2 linked regions of the Astyanax mexicanus genome follow. The protein of the gene in region 1 interacts with the protein of each later gene in a pairwise test. Links are inferred from orthologs where the notes say so. Each region holds a gene or a part of one and is shown on either strand. Other genes may lie near its edges.

Region 1 (7,568 bases):
CTTCTCCACCAGTCTTACACACTGCTTTTGGGTAACGTTTTGCCACTGCTGGTGCAAAAATTCAAGCAGTTCAGCTTGGTTTGATTGCTTGTGATCATCCATCTTCCTCGAATATATTCCAGAGGTTTACAATTTGGTAAAATCAAGGAAACTTATTATTTTTAAGTGGTCTCTTATTTTTTTTCCAGAGCTGTATATAATCTGTCTCTATTAGATATTTATTGGAAAATAAGAACCGTGTAAAAAAAAAGGTGTAACAACTTTTTCACACCTCAATCTTCTTCACACCTCAGACAGATTGTGAATTAAGTGTTAAAGATTGATCAAGATAAGTAATACTATTAATAATACAAGCGCAAACCACCATACACTCAATAACAATAAGACAATTTAATGCATTAAGAGAATATGTACATATATAGGATTTGATATGTCCTTGCTGTCATGCATGCAAAAAAAACAAAAAAAACATATATCTCTATGTTTGTTTTAAAACAAACGCTCCAAATTAACTTATACTTAAATATTTTAAAATATATATTTTTCTGTAAAGTTTTTGAAGAATATTTTGAAGAATATAGCAATATTTTCACTTTTTAAACTAAGTGTTCCACTATTAATGTATATTTTAAGGTTAAAGTTAATTTTATGTTAAATCAATAACAAGTTAAAGAAATACTACACCAAACTGCTATTCGCTGTATATAAAAGTTCGCAAAAGATCATAAAGATGGAGATTTTTCTCTATTGGGCAAATTCTCATATGTATTAGAAATGTAACTGTAATAGACATATAATATAATATATAATATATAATTATAATCCTTTTTTGATATATGTTTGACAGCAAACACACCTCAAAAGAAACAGTAACAGGATGATAGCAAACATATTTCTAGGTATTAAATTATTTAAATGTTAATATTGTAGCAATGGCTACTTTTAATATTTGTTGTAATGTAGCTAACACCTAAATATTAATTTCTGTAGAGTTTGGAAATCAATATTTGGTAGAATTACACTGGTTTTTAATCACAGTTTTCATGCATCTTGGCATGTTCTTCTCCACCAGTCTTACACACTGCTTTTGGGTAACGTTTTGCCACTGCTGGTGCAAAAATTCAAGCAGTTCAGCTTGGTTTGATTGCTTGTGATCATCCATCTTCCTCGAATATATTCCAGAGGTTTACAATTTTGTAAAATCAAGGAAACTTATTATTTTTAAGTGGTCTCTAATTTTTTTTCCAGAGCTGTATATAATCTGTCTCTATTAGATATTTATTGGAAAATAAGAACCGTGTAAATGTTCCTTTTCCTTTCAAACTGTTAGAAAATGTGCCCTGATGGTCCATATTGCCCTAAAATAATATGACGATACTTCAGGGTATTTTGCGACATAAAACTTTACCGATATTATTGCATTCGATACAGAACACCCTTAATATTGACCCCGCTGAGCTGTAAACGAACCTGGAAACCACAGCACCAGGCCTCGGTCCAGCACCTCATTGGTCTGTGGGTTAAGGATGCTGCGCAGGAGGGCGGTTCGGGGGGCGGGTAGAGCGCGGCTCAGACCGGCCACACTGCGGAGAGCCCCGCCTGCAGCCGGTCCGCTGACCCGGACCACGGCCACTCCACACCGGCCCTGCCCAGAGGAGAGAGCGTAGATAGTGTCCACGGGTCCAGCGGCACTGCTGACTGAAGAATCACATCTTACACGCACCCGCAGCCTGCAGAGAAGAATGTTACACACACAACCTGTCATTATTCATTCACTCCTAACCCAAAAGAGCCCATGGTGAACATTAAAAAACTGTGTAAATTTCCATACAGCACTTTGTCTGTAATTTTAAAGGATAAATTCCCTAAGTGACAGGACAGTGTGTGAATAGGTGCTTTAGTTCATCTTATCTCATTTACAGAATATATGGTGCTGGGTTAGTTTGTTTTCAACAATTTTAACAATTCAAACGCTTTCATTTGATGTTTTGTATTCTATATAACTAGTTCTGGTCTGATTTCTAGAACCAAATATTAAAATATGAGCTATTTAATTGTTGTGTCATTCATGCTACATCAGGATTTTTAAACCTAACATACAGCTCTGGAAAAAATTAAGGTACCATTTAATGATAATGTTTTTCCTTGATTTTACCAAACTGAAAACCTCTGGGATATAAACAAGACATCAAACCAAGTTAAACTGCTGGATTTTTTGCACCGGTAGTGGCACCATGTTATCCAAAAGTAGTGCGTAAGACTGGTAAAGGAGAACATGCCAGGATGCATGAAAACTGTGATTATTCCACCAAATATTGATTTCTCTACTCTTAAAACTTTATGAATATGAACTTGTTTTCTTCACATTATTTGAGGTCTAAAACCTCTGCATCTTTTTTGTTATTTCATTTCTCATTTTCTGCAAATAAATGCTCCAAATCATCTAGCATCTATCTATTTTTATTTGGAATTTGGGAAAAATGTCCGCAGTTTATAAAATAAAACCACAATGTTCATTTTACTCAATCATATACCTATAAATAGCAAAATCAGAGAACCTGATTTAGAAACTGAAGTGATCTCTTAATTTTTCCTAGAGCTGTATTTATAGGCATGCGCCCACAATATGGAAAATAAACATGAACACGCTGCTCCTTGAATTTACCTGATTAAATGTTTTATTAGCCATCAATATACAGAAATGGTGTCTGTGATCTCAGCACCAGTAACCTATCCTAGTACACACCTTACTGCGGTCATCCGCAGAGCTCTTCTCCAGCAGCGGGATAAACTCATGATGAAACTTTAGCTTTATTACTCCTGCGGCCCTAAATCAGCAGGTACAGTGTGAGAGAGCTGAGCTCTTTCCACAGCGCAGATTAACATTTCTCAGGTTCTGTGAGTAATTTCTCTTTTTCTTAGCTCCATGTCGACCTCTCTCTCTCTCCGGCCGCTCTCACATGTGATTCTGTGCGCTCTGTTTAAAGCGTGCTCGGTTTGTTGTTGTTGGGTGTTCGTGAATATGATTGGTTCATTTCATCTGCTCCGTAAATCTAGACGTGACTCAATTGGTCCGAACCCTGTCAATCAAACCAAGCCACGCCCCCTGTGCGCTCGCGTAATGTCTCCGTGTTGACGCCGCAAATGTAGCGTGTGTAAAGGTCCGTTTGTTTGAGGCCAACAAAACAACGCTGTTTTAATACGAAAAAAAACATATCCATTTAAATTATTTGAACAGTATTTATAACTTTAAATAAACTTGACTTAATCATATAAGTATAATCTATTAACACAAGAACACAATGCTTAGACTTGAAACCACCAATTTCTCACATCTGCTAACATCTATTTACTCTTTACAGAGCCACTAAACTCTAAACCATATTTTGCTATTAATAGCTAAATGTGTTCCTGAAGTAACTAAACATATACCACTCCGGCTTAAGATGTTTATAAACATTTTCTAACCTTTAAAAAACATTTTAACACTTTTTAAAAAAACACTGATAATTTCTGCCTGTAGTGCCCTCTCAGGTTTAACTGTGCTAAAGAAGTGAATGCTGTGTCCGTTTGCTTTGGAACGCAGACACATCACAATAAGCACATCCATCAATCAATTATACTGCAGACTTCCCAAGTCTCCCAGAAGTTGTGGGAATCTACAGCATATCAATAACGGCTCCCTGATGCCCGCAAGTCAGATAAAATCTCCTGGAATCTAGAACGAGTGGCCCAAGAGTGAATACAATTGCACTCGCAGGTGACACAGACTGTTTTCCCCAATCAAGAGGTATTAGCATTGCCCACGGGGGACTAAATGATTGCGAATGGCATGAGGTGAGTAAATGTGACTAACAAACAGCTCTCCCTCCTGCCCTGCTTCTAAACCCATACATCACCCAGTGCCCCTCCCAAACTACCCCTCCCAATTTTTAGCATATTTTAAATTAAAGCTGAGGGTGGAGTCAGCAAAAATCAGGTGATTAGTGCCCCTTTAAAAAAGTCCACTTATTTTAATGTTACAAAAAAAAAAAAAACTAATGTATGATAGTAAGGGAATATGTGTCTCAACTTTACAATTTAAAGAGCTCATAATTTAATGCATAAAGTATTTTAATATTTGTTTACATTGTTCCACTAAAATATAAGACTTATACAATTATAAGTACAATTATAGTTAAATTGTTATATTGTTTTTTCAATTATTAAACACTATTAAACACTACTAATTATTAAATATTTTGGGAAGCTGTCAAAAGTGAGCACAATGCTTAACAGTCCAAAAACCTTTGTCTCATATGTTTTTAATTTCATGAATTGAATCTTATTCTGATTGGTATACAGAACTATTAGCTTATGGAAAATAATATGTCAACACTCATGGGCAATAAGACAATTGATCTATGACCTGAGAGCAGTGCATGCTCGCGGGGCTGTTCATTTCACTGCAGAGGTGGTGAGACATGTGGATGGTGAGTAAGCAGAAATTATATGGCTTGGCTTCCTCTTAGCAGAGAGCAGACATATGGGGAGGGAAGGGAGGGGGGTGACTGCTTAGTAGCTGCTGGCCAGTAGAGATAGAAGGATATAAGGACCGTTTTTGTTTGAGATTTAGACCATGTTTTAAATCTAAGCACGGAGGCTTGACTTTGACCACACACAAGTTCTAGTGTATTTGAGATAAAAGGATCAATAGCATCTGTTTTCCACATCACACTAGCTTGGAGTCTTTATGTCTTCAGTGTACAGTATAATGAACAGTTGATGTTTTATGAACACTATATTTATGTTATATGTATATTACTATTTATATACAGTATGTATAAAAGTATTATTCATGTACACATAATATATGTTAGTGGTTTCAGTATGGATATTGTGATCTAATATTTTTTTCTATCACATTTATGGTAATAAATAACATTTAGGAATGTAAAACTGTATTAGCCTGTATTATTGCTACACACAAATCTAAGAAAATCTTTCTCTCTATGTAAATCACGCAAAAAAATCATAGAAGGTGAGGTGCTCAGAGGATATTTTTTGCACTGATAAATAAATCATACAGCGCTTCATCCTCTGGAACTGAGTGAGTCTCATTAGCTGCACCATTTCTAAGCCTGCACCTGAACACACCAGAACAGCTTGAAAAATAAATCTCTCGTGTGGACCAAGTTCTTCCTTTTCCACTCAGTAATCATTTAGAAACTGCTGCTTATGTTTTCTTTTTGATGAAATGTGCTGAGTGACAGAAAAAGCCAGTTTGTTGTACAAAGCAGTAATGCCTAAATGGAGGAGGTAAGTTCGACTGAGGTGTTCATTATGGGACAACAGGTAATGATGGGCACTAGGGAACAACATCAGCTAAGCTTACTTCAGCTGGACTATTGTTACCCTAAAGAAGTAATAACAGAGTATTAATAGTTTGGGTAATATGTAAACGTAAATAATAATATATAAACTTTTCATGGAAATGTAAAAATATAACACTGGCAAAATCATAGGAAAGCAGTATGTAATTGATTGTGAAATGTTACCTCAAGGGACAGCTTGGCAGTGTCCACACTTTTGAGGTTTTATCTTGTAAGTGAGTTTGTACCTGGCCAGCGTGCTCTTGGCAAGCATCATAAAAAATGCAGTTTCAGCAAGGCATGTTATTGGGTGCCCAAATGGGACATTCCATTTCTGAAGCTATGCAAGCATTTAACATTTCTCAATCCACAGTTTCTTAAAACATCATAGAATACATTACCACCCACAGAAGACAGTGCAGTTGGTAGTAACAGTGGTGGCCAGCAGTGTCTGGCTAGAATTATACATTTCTGGCAGAAATCACATCCACATATCCACATATTCCACAGGTCACTATGGTATTCCTTAGATAAAACATAGCAAAATCATGGGATACCAGTTGAAATTCATAATTTTACTATCTATTTACATAATTTCCAATTTAACATGTATACTCTACAATGTATTATTGGTAGTGATAGGTAGGGATAGAAAGAGTAAATGTTCTCCACTTGTAAATTATTTTCTGGACAGTGGAATGAGGTCTGTTTGTTCTGAGATACTTTCCAGATTCATAAACATCAACAAACTTCTTTCTGAAGGCCTCAGAGAACTCCTCATGAATCCCCCTACTTAAACAAAGTATTAATATGAACTAATTATAGTATATACAAAATGTGATGTTACAATGGGCACTACTATCTCACATTGTAGTGTAAAACAGAAGAGGTTTAGCTATTTACATCAACACAACATCAGAAAAATGCTGAATAGCAATGCAAATGCTGTGCCAGGGATGTTTGTTGTCATAGCAGTTTTTCATCTCTTCCTGTTAGTGCATAACAGGTTATTATATTATTATTTTGTATGCTAATCTTTGAAACCTGCACTATTAAGATAAGTCTATATAGTCTAGAGTATTAGTGTGTAGAACACAATTGGGTAAAAGAAATGGCTGAGGTTTGAATGAGACAGGCTACTTCAAAATTCTCTCTTACTACATTTAAATTACCTGGAGATGATTCTAAATTTAGGCGTTTTAAGCAGGAATAAATCACTCAATAAACTCAACAAATTGTATTTACATGAATTAAACTGTGTCAAATAATATCTCCCTAATCCTTCAGGATTTTTTAACTGAATATCAAAGACCAAATGTAGTTTTCTAAATACTGACATATTTGTCATGGGGAATATTTCACAATACTGTACACAGATAAACAGATACAACTAAGGAAGAGAAAAAACCTTACACAGCACGATTGCCAGTTAACACACAGGGAGTGTTAAACTTAACACTGGTAACGTTAAATATGCGGTGGAAAAAAGAACAGTCAGTGTAAGAAGAAGCGTTAGAAAGACAAGAATATGATGAATTAGGAGAAGGAAGAGAGAAGGGTGCTAGAAAGAAAAAAGAAAGAGGTCTGGAAAAAATAAGAGACCACTTAAATATGATAACAAATGAGTTTCTTTGATTTCACCAAATTATAAACCTCTGGAATATAACCAAGAGGAAGATGGATGATAACAAGCCATCAAACCAAGCCGAACTGCTTGATTTTTTGCACCAGGAGTGGCATAACGTTATCCAAAAGCAGTGTGTAAGACTGGTGGAGGAGAACATGCCAAGATGCATGAAACTGTGATTAAAAACCAGGGTTATTCCACCAAATACTGATTTCTTAAAACTTTATGAATATGAACTTGTTTTCTTTGCATTATTTGAGGTCTAAAAGCTCTGCATCTTTTTCAGCCGTACTGTACTGATTGCTATGTTTAACTTATAGAATATTTTTAATAACACTTGTTCTTGGTGTGCTACCAACAAATGTTTTTTTGTTTCGTTTGTTTGTTGAAACTGATTAATGTGCTGTTTTTCTGTGCACTGAAACCAATAAACATTGAATATCAAAACAAACAGAAAATAACAGTAAATACAGAGTTACTGAATCTGAAAAGAGAGAAGTAAATTAGAGAGACAGAGGGAAGAAGGAAGAAAGAGAAGACAGACAGAGAGTGAGTGTTAGTGTGAGAGTGTGAGTGTGTCCTCCTCCTCT
Region 2 (7,199 bases), on another chromosome or scaffold:
TGTTGAATGTGACTAAGGGGTTGTATAGTTTTGTCAATGAGGAAATCCCAAAAAGAACTTGTTGATATATTAGAAAAAGTATTGATGTAATTTAAGTTGGTGTGTGGTTGGTGTGGCACAGTGGATAACACCACTACCTTCTAGTGCGCTACCACATCAAGTGTGTGACCCACCACTGTAATAGAAATAACCTTGTAAGTCACTTTGGATAAAACTGTCAGCTAAATGCCATACAAAGTTGCATTTGTCCTTATTTAATCTGATTGTGAATAAGTTTAAAAAATAAAGTTAAACTTGCTAAACACTTTACTGCAATGGAGGCTGACTTATTTTGAACACCACTGTGTGTTGTGTTAATACAGCCTGCAATCAAATAAAAGTACAACAAAATGTAAGTGACATTTTTTCCTTGCATTTTTGCAAGGAAGCAAACTTGTAAAAGCTGACCAAGGAAGAACCACATACTTCAAACATATGCCACACTCCACACTCTGCCAGGTAGAACCAGTGCCAGTTGGGTTCTGATGTGTCCATCTCCTCCTCACCGCTCTCCTCCTCAGGACTCCTGGGGTTAAAGATGGTGTTCTCCACATGCTGCTGCAGACACTTGTCACCTGCAGAGCAATGCATCTACAAAAAAAATACAAAATGTCATTACCACAATTTGCCAAAACGAAAACAACTGGAAACATAAGCAACTGTTACAAAAAGTACAAAGTGTTAGATCATGTAAAATGGTAGAGCGAAGCATAGTGCACAGAGGTTACAGACCTTCTGCAGTCAATTACTACAGACCTCCAAATTTCATGTGGCCTTCAGAGTAAGGAGAGATCCATGGAGTGAATTTCCATGGCTGAGTAGCTGCATCTAAGCCTTACATTACCCAGCAACCATCTGGTGTCAAGCCTGCTTCTCTAACATGTAATAACATATCTGGCTAAATGTGGCCTAATAACAGTATAATTGATTAAATTAAAATAATTAAAATCTCACATAAGTACAACAAACCTCACAGTTTACTTTTTATGTATATAAAACAGTCTGTTCATGCAGGAAAACCTTCTAATGTGGCTGAACCTTTTGCACTTTTTCATATTCCACTGCTGTAGATAACATGTACTTACTTGTAAATAATATCCATACCCCATTACTGCTTTCATGTATATATTTCCATCATGGATGTAAAGTTAACACTAATTAATATTTATATTTTGTTTTTTATTCTTTCTTTATTGTATATTTTCTATTTTTATCTTTATGCGGCATACTTGGCGAGGGGCAAAGAAAGAATTTCATTGTACGAGGAAACTTGTTTCTTACTGTGCACATGACAATAAACTCTTTGAACTTTGAACTGAATTAAACCAATACTGTAAAGAAGGGTGGGCCAAAGTTCCTCCACAGAGATGTGAAAGACTCATTGCCAGTTATTGGTAAAGCTTGATTGCAGTTGTTGCCGCCAAGGGCCGTCAAAAGTTTGGATGCACATTCAATGTTTTTCTTTATTTCTTTATTTAGTTAATTTTCTACATTGTTGATTAATATTAAACCTGATGAATTATGTAGTATACAGTAATAAAAGTGTTTGTACGCCACAATTTCCTGACCTAAACCAAATTATGATGGTGATTTGGGATGAGCTGCAGCACTGCATGAAGGAAAGGCAGCAACTATTGTTCAGCACCTTTAGGAACTCCTTCAGGATGCTGAGAAGAGTGTGCAAATCTGTTCTCAAAGCTAAATGTGGTACTTTGAAGAATCTAAAGTATAAAACATTCCTTTTTACAGTGTTTACACTATAATTCTGTATGTGTCCTTGTATAGTTTATGTATAGTCTCTTAAATATTAAATTTATAATGTAAAAATTATTTTAAAAATAGAAAACCTATTGAATGAGAAGACGTGCAACCTTTTGGACTGGAACTGTAGGTCTTTTGGAGATACAATATTTCTGTATGACAGTGACATACTACTATACAGCTCTGAACAAAATAATAGACCACTTAAAAGTGAATTGAAAACCTCTGGAATATAATCAAGAGGAAGATGGATGAGCACAAGCCATCAACCCAAGCCGAACTGCTTGAATATTTGCACCAGGAGTGGCATGAAGTTATCCAAATGCAGTGTGTAAGACTGGTGGAGGAGAACATGCCAAGATGCATGAAAACTGTGATTAAAAACCAAGGTTATTACATCAAATATTGATTTCTGGATTCTTAAAACTTTATGAACATAAACTTGCTTTCTTTGCCTTATTTGAGGTCTGAAAGCTCTGCATCTTTTTTGTCATTTCAGCCATTTCTCACTTTCTGCAAACAAATCTGTTTATTTAACTCAAACATGTACCTACAAAATCAGGGAAACTGATTCAGAAACTGAGGTGGTGCCTTAATTTTTTTTTTCAGTGCTGTATATTAAAAATGCTACAGTAAGAATTGTGTTAATGTAAGTTTGATCAGTTATACTGTTATGGTTTACTTTCAGTATTCATCCAGAAACACAGAAAGATGGTAATCTAACTCTCACTCACTGCAAAAACTAACTTTACTGAATAAAACACTGGATAGTTATTACACTGTTACATTATATCTGTAATTTATCAGCAGAATAAACACATACTTCATTTACACCCTTTTCACTGAGCTCCAGGGTGAGTGAATCTCTCAGTATTCAGCGCTGGGCTGGTGCTGTACAGTGTATTTTAGCTATATACTGATAATAGAAAAGAGAGTAATTAATTAATCAGTGCTGTTTAACTGCAGTGAGCTTAAATCCACTATCATTACCTTATCCGCTGCTGCTCGAGCCCCTCGGCTGCACTGCTACAGTCTCTCTTATCTGCCCTGCAGAACCAGTACAGTCCGCCCAGTTTAAAGGCAGTAATGTCTGGGTTCCGGCAGTATCACTGTCCTCATCATTTTCAGCGAAATATCAATCTTTTTCATTTTTATTTCCTTTCCTTTTCGCTTCGTTGTTATTGTTTACCGGGGCTTCCGCATTCGTCACGGCTGACGTCGCCCTGACGCTCCCGTCCGCATCCATGAAGAAAAAAAAAAGATTTATTTATTTTTTAAAAAGAAAGTGATGATTTTCTATTAAATGTTTTAAAATATAGATTTATCCATTTTATAAGTAATATATATTGTTTGTTGGTGCACAACACGACCCGAATAAATGTCTGTTTCCTATATCTATTCAATAAACTGAATCATTCAGTATTGAACATACAGCTCTGGCAAAAAATAAGAGACCACTTCTGATTTTGCTATTCATAGGTGTATGTTTGTTTTATTCCGTAAACTACGGACAACATTTCTCCCAAATTCCAAATAAAAATATTGTCATTTAAAGCATTTATTTGCAGAAAATGAGAAATGTATTTGAGACCTCAAATAATGCAAAGAAAACACGTTCATATTCATAAAGTTTTTAGAGTTTAGAAATCAATATTTGGTGGAATAACCCTGGCTTTTAATCAAAGTTTTAATGCATCTTGGCATGTTCTCCTTCACCAGTCTTACACACTGCTTTTGGATAACTTTATGCCACTCCTGCTGCAAAAATTCAAGCAGTTCAGCTTGATATGATGGCTTGTGACCATCCATCTTCCTCTTGATTATATTCCAGATGTTTTCAATTTGGTAAAATCAAAGAAACTTATCATTTTAAGTGGTTTCTTTTTTTTTCAGAGCTAAATAAACCCTGCTGGCATTTCAATGCTGAATTAATGTTGATTTAACGTTGATGTTATGGTTGAATCAATGTTGGATTTGGTGTTGATTTTAAAAACTGCCAATGTTGTTTTAACGTTGTGCGTTAAACCTTTAATAAACCACAGCTCAAAATGTCTTTGATAGTAACTACTCTCACATTTTTTAAATTAATAGCTGGAATATGTTGCTCTGTAATGAGAAAATTTACCAGCTCTGCTTAACAGGCTTACAAATGAGATGCAAATTTAGATGTTTGAATATATTTTCATCAAAAGTTTATTTAGTACAGTTAAAAAAATTATGTTCTTAATTGTTTTTGGCATACAAGTTTAAGAATACAAGCTGGCCTGAGCACTAACAACGGCAGATTAGCCAGTTAGCTAATAGGCTAACTGGCAATGGTGACCATTGAATAACGGGCTAAAAGGAGGATAATAATAAAGTATGCAGAGAAACAGATACAGTCTTTACTTACAGAACTACAAATTCTACTATATGCTCAGTGGACCTAAAAATTGAGTATTGAACCAACAACCCTGTGATTATCACTGTTACTTGCTCAATGATAATTCAAGATATATTCAAATTATATTATATTTGACTTTAAACATAGCCAAACTGTTTTTGGAATTGGAATTCTCTGGAATCCTGAATTCCCTGCAGGAGAAGAAATGCTCCCTCTGAGCTGCCAAACCATCTGAGCCAGACCAGACACGCCCTCCCAACGGATAGTTTTAATCCCACCCATTTTCAGACAATCCCCTCCCCCAAGCTAGGATTGGCCAATGGCTCTTAGCAGCTAATCCTAGTGTAGGTGGGCGGGGCTCGGCGTTAAACGGGCGGGAAACAAAACTGGCGCTACAAGGTTGTGGGAGCCAGATCCAGAGAAATGGGGCGTGGCTTCCGGAAAACAGGTGGGGATAAGAGTGCTCCCACACAAACTCCCAGAGCATTCCCCACAACTGTCTGATTCTGCAGAACTTAGTTCACTGCACTCTCACAGGGAATAATCACAGCTGATTCTGGTGAGTCTGCATTCGTCTTTTACTCCATCCTGCTCTTCATTCTGCAGATATTTTAGTTATTTTTGCAGAAATGCAGTCATTTTTCTTATTTAGTGGAGCTGCTGCAAGTTAAAAACTTTCTCATATTCTGGAAGTTGTTCATGAACAGTGTATTATTACACATCAGGGTTGTTTAGTGAGAATGCTTTGTTCTGGAAGCCAATATTGGCTATTTTATTACACATATGCTATGTTGCAGATTAAATTGATTTAATTTAGCATTCTATTACTCCTAAGGGTGCTTTTAATTTATTTATGTGTTCAGTTTAGATCAGATTGGGATAAACTAGGTTATACTTTTAGGGCTGTTCTGTTACACCTAAGTGCTGTTTTTAAATCAGAATGTTCCATATATTATTGGATAGACTACAATTTTTTGAGGCAAACAATTTTGTTCTGAAAAGTTTTAATGGCTATTATACTACACCTACGAGTTTTAGTGTATTTGTATATTTAGATTAGATTGTTAGGGAAAAAGTTTTGTTCTGGAAAGTTTAGATAAGATTAGATAGATGTTTATTTATTTTATTTTATTATTTAAATAGATCAGAATGAATGAGATGTGATTTCATTTCATTACATTATATATTACATTATATAAAATTACATTATATAACATTGTTAAGGGGAAAAAGTTTGTTCTGGAAAGTTTAGATGAGATTAGATTGTTGTTTGTTTGTTTGTTTATTTATATATTGAAATCAGATTAAATGAGATTAGTTTTAGTGTCTTCATTTGTTCACATTTGACTACATTTTTATGAAACTTATGTTTTAAAAAATATTTTAGTTGCCATTCTATTACAATTAAAATTATATCAGGGTTTTTATTATTGTTATTTTTGATTAGATTAGCAACCCTGTCACGTTTTAACGTAAATAACTTGCCAATGTTGATACAAATATTAACATTAATATTAATAATGACTGTATGGTTATGGAGGAAAATATACTTTTTGTAGGATGAACATATCTTTCATGTTATGGGCTTGAAAAAAATCTGAAAATTGTGAGAATGAAAAATACACAGTAAATTCACCAGTGTTAAATTAACGCTATTAGTGTTAAATGTTAAGGTTACCCTGAGAGTGTAAAACTGTACACTACTGTGTTTATTTAAAACTAGTGAATTTACTGTGTAGCTCCTGATTTGTTGGTGTACTGTGTGGGAAATCAGAAGATATGATGCATTCTGAAGTGCACTATTCAAAGTAACAGTGACAGTCAACTTCAAAGTCATTCTTTCTCATTACAGTTATGTTAGGATTAATTATGCAAACATTGTACCCGCAATGCAAATCTAAATGTGAAAAAAAATCATTATAATTTGACATGCACTGCAGTGTGAGCGTGTGTGAGAGAGAGACAGGCTTCATGGGGGAGAGCAGAGGGGAAGACACTCCTATCAGCGGGTCTGCAGATCCTCAGAAGGAGAATGAACCCGGTGGTCCAGAGCACAGAGAGAAGTGGGCCAATAAGACGGAGTTTCTGCTGTCCATGGCTGGAGAGATCATCGGCCTGGGGAACGTGTGGCGATTCCCTTACCTGTGCTACAAGAACGGAGGAGGTGTGTGTGGTTAAATAATACGTATGGGTTATATTACTATGACCCATGTTACATATAAGAACCTACATACTGTATATGACTAGAGATTATAGTAGAAATATTTGTGGTCACAAATGTTTTTTTTTTTTTTTTCATTTAGGGGCGTACTTACTATTTGTTGCCTGTGGTTTAGACATTAGTGGCTGTATGTAGAGTTATACAAGCTGTACACTGATTACTTTACATTATATAAAAGTGTCATATCTTTAGTGTTGTCCCATGAAAAGATATAATACATTATTTATAAAAATGTGAAGGGTGTTCTCACTTTTGTGAGATACTTTATATATATATATATATATCATACATATGAGACTCATATCAGACTTATTATGTAGTATGTACTAGGGGCGGGTGATATGGCTCTAAAATAATATCACGATATTTCAGGGCATATACTTGGCAATATAGGAAAACAGAAAAATAATTCATTTCATAATTAAATTCATTTCAGGAATATAGTATAATAGTTACAGTATAATCATAATGTGACAACATAAATAATATAGCATAAAATAATATAATGCAGCAAAACATATTGCAGAATATTTCCATGCATATAAACTGCAAACAAAAACTATAAACTAAAACAATTATACAACAAAAGCTTCACAGTAAATAATAGACTACTTTTAAGACAAAATATCATGGTATTTCTGTGTCACGATATATTGCATACGATATGATATTGCCCACCCCTAGTATGTACAATACATTATTCTGAAAGTAATGATACTGTATATAGACATACACAATATATAATTGTTTTAAAGCAGTTGAAGCTATGGATTATTTCACAAACATAATATATGT

The links.
Region 2: the proteins of gtpbp3 (region 1) and protein mono-ADP-ribosyltransferase PARP11 interact in binary tests that used the Homo sapiens proteins (3 or more experiments, as listed by UniProt). The two-hybrid records come from large-scale screens. The link is inferred for Astyanax mexicanus from reciprocal best matches to the Homo sapiens genes GTPBP3 and PARP11.

The regions. Positions count from the first base shown.
Region 1 is NC_064423.1:19,286,430-19,293,997, forward strand, and holds the start of gtpbp3 (tRNA modification GTPase GTPBP3, mitochondrial), read right to left. Parts: upstream 3,014-7,568; 5' UTR 2,797-3,013; coding exon 2,747-2,796; intron 1,731-2,746; coding exon 1,471-1,730; intron 1-1,470. UniProt on the Homo sapiens protein: GTPase component of the GTPBP3-MTO1 complex that catalyzes the 5-taurinomethyluridine (taum(5)U) modification at the 34th wobble position (U34) of mitochondrial tRNAs (mt-tRNAs), which plays a role in mt-tRNA decoding and mitochondrial translation.
Region 2 is NC_064409.1:19,623,691-19,630,889, forward strand, and holds the start of protein mono-ADP-ribosyltransferase PARP11, read right to left. Parts: upstream 3,023-7,199; 5' UTR 2,791-3,022; intron 631-2,790; coding exon 466-630; intron 305-465; exon of another isoform or gene 1-304. Other genes in the region: sodium- and chloride-dependent GABA transporter 2, read left to right, coding at 6,155-6,347. UniProt on the Homo sapiens protein: Mono-ADP-ribosyltransferase that mediates mono-ADP-ribosylation of target proteins. Plays a role in nuclear envelope stability and nuclear remodeling during spermiogenesis. Inhibits the type I interferon activated signaling pathway.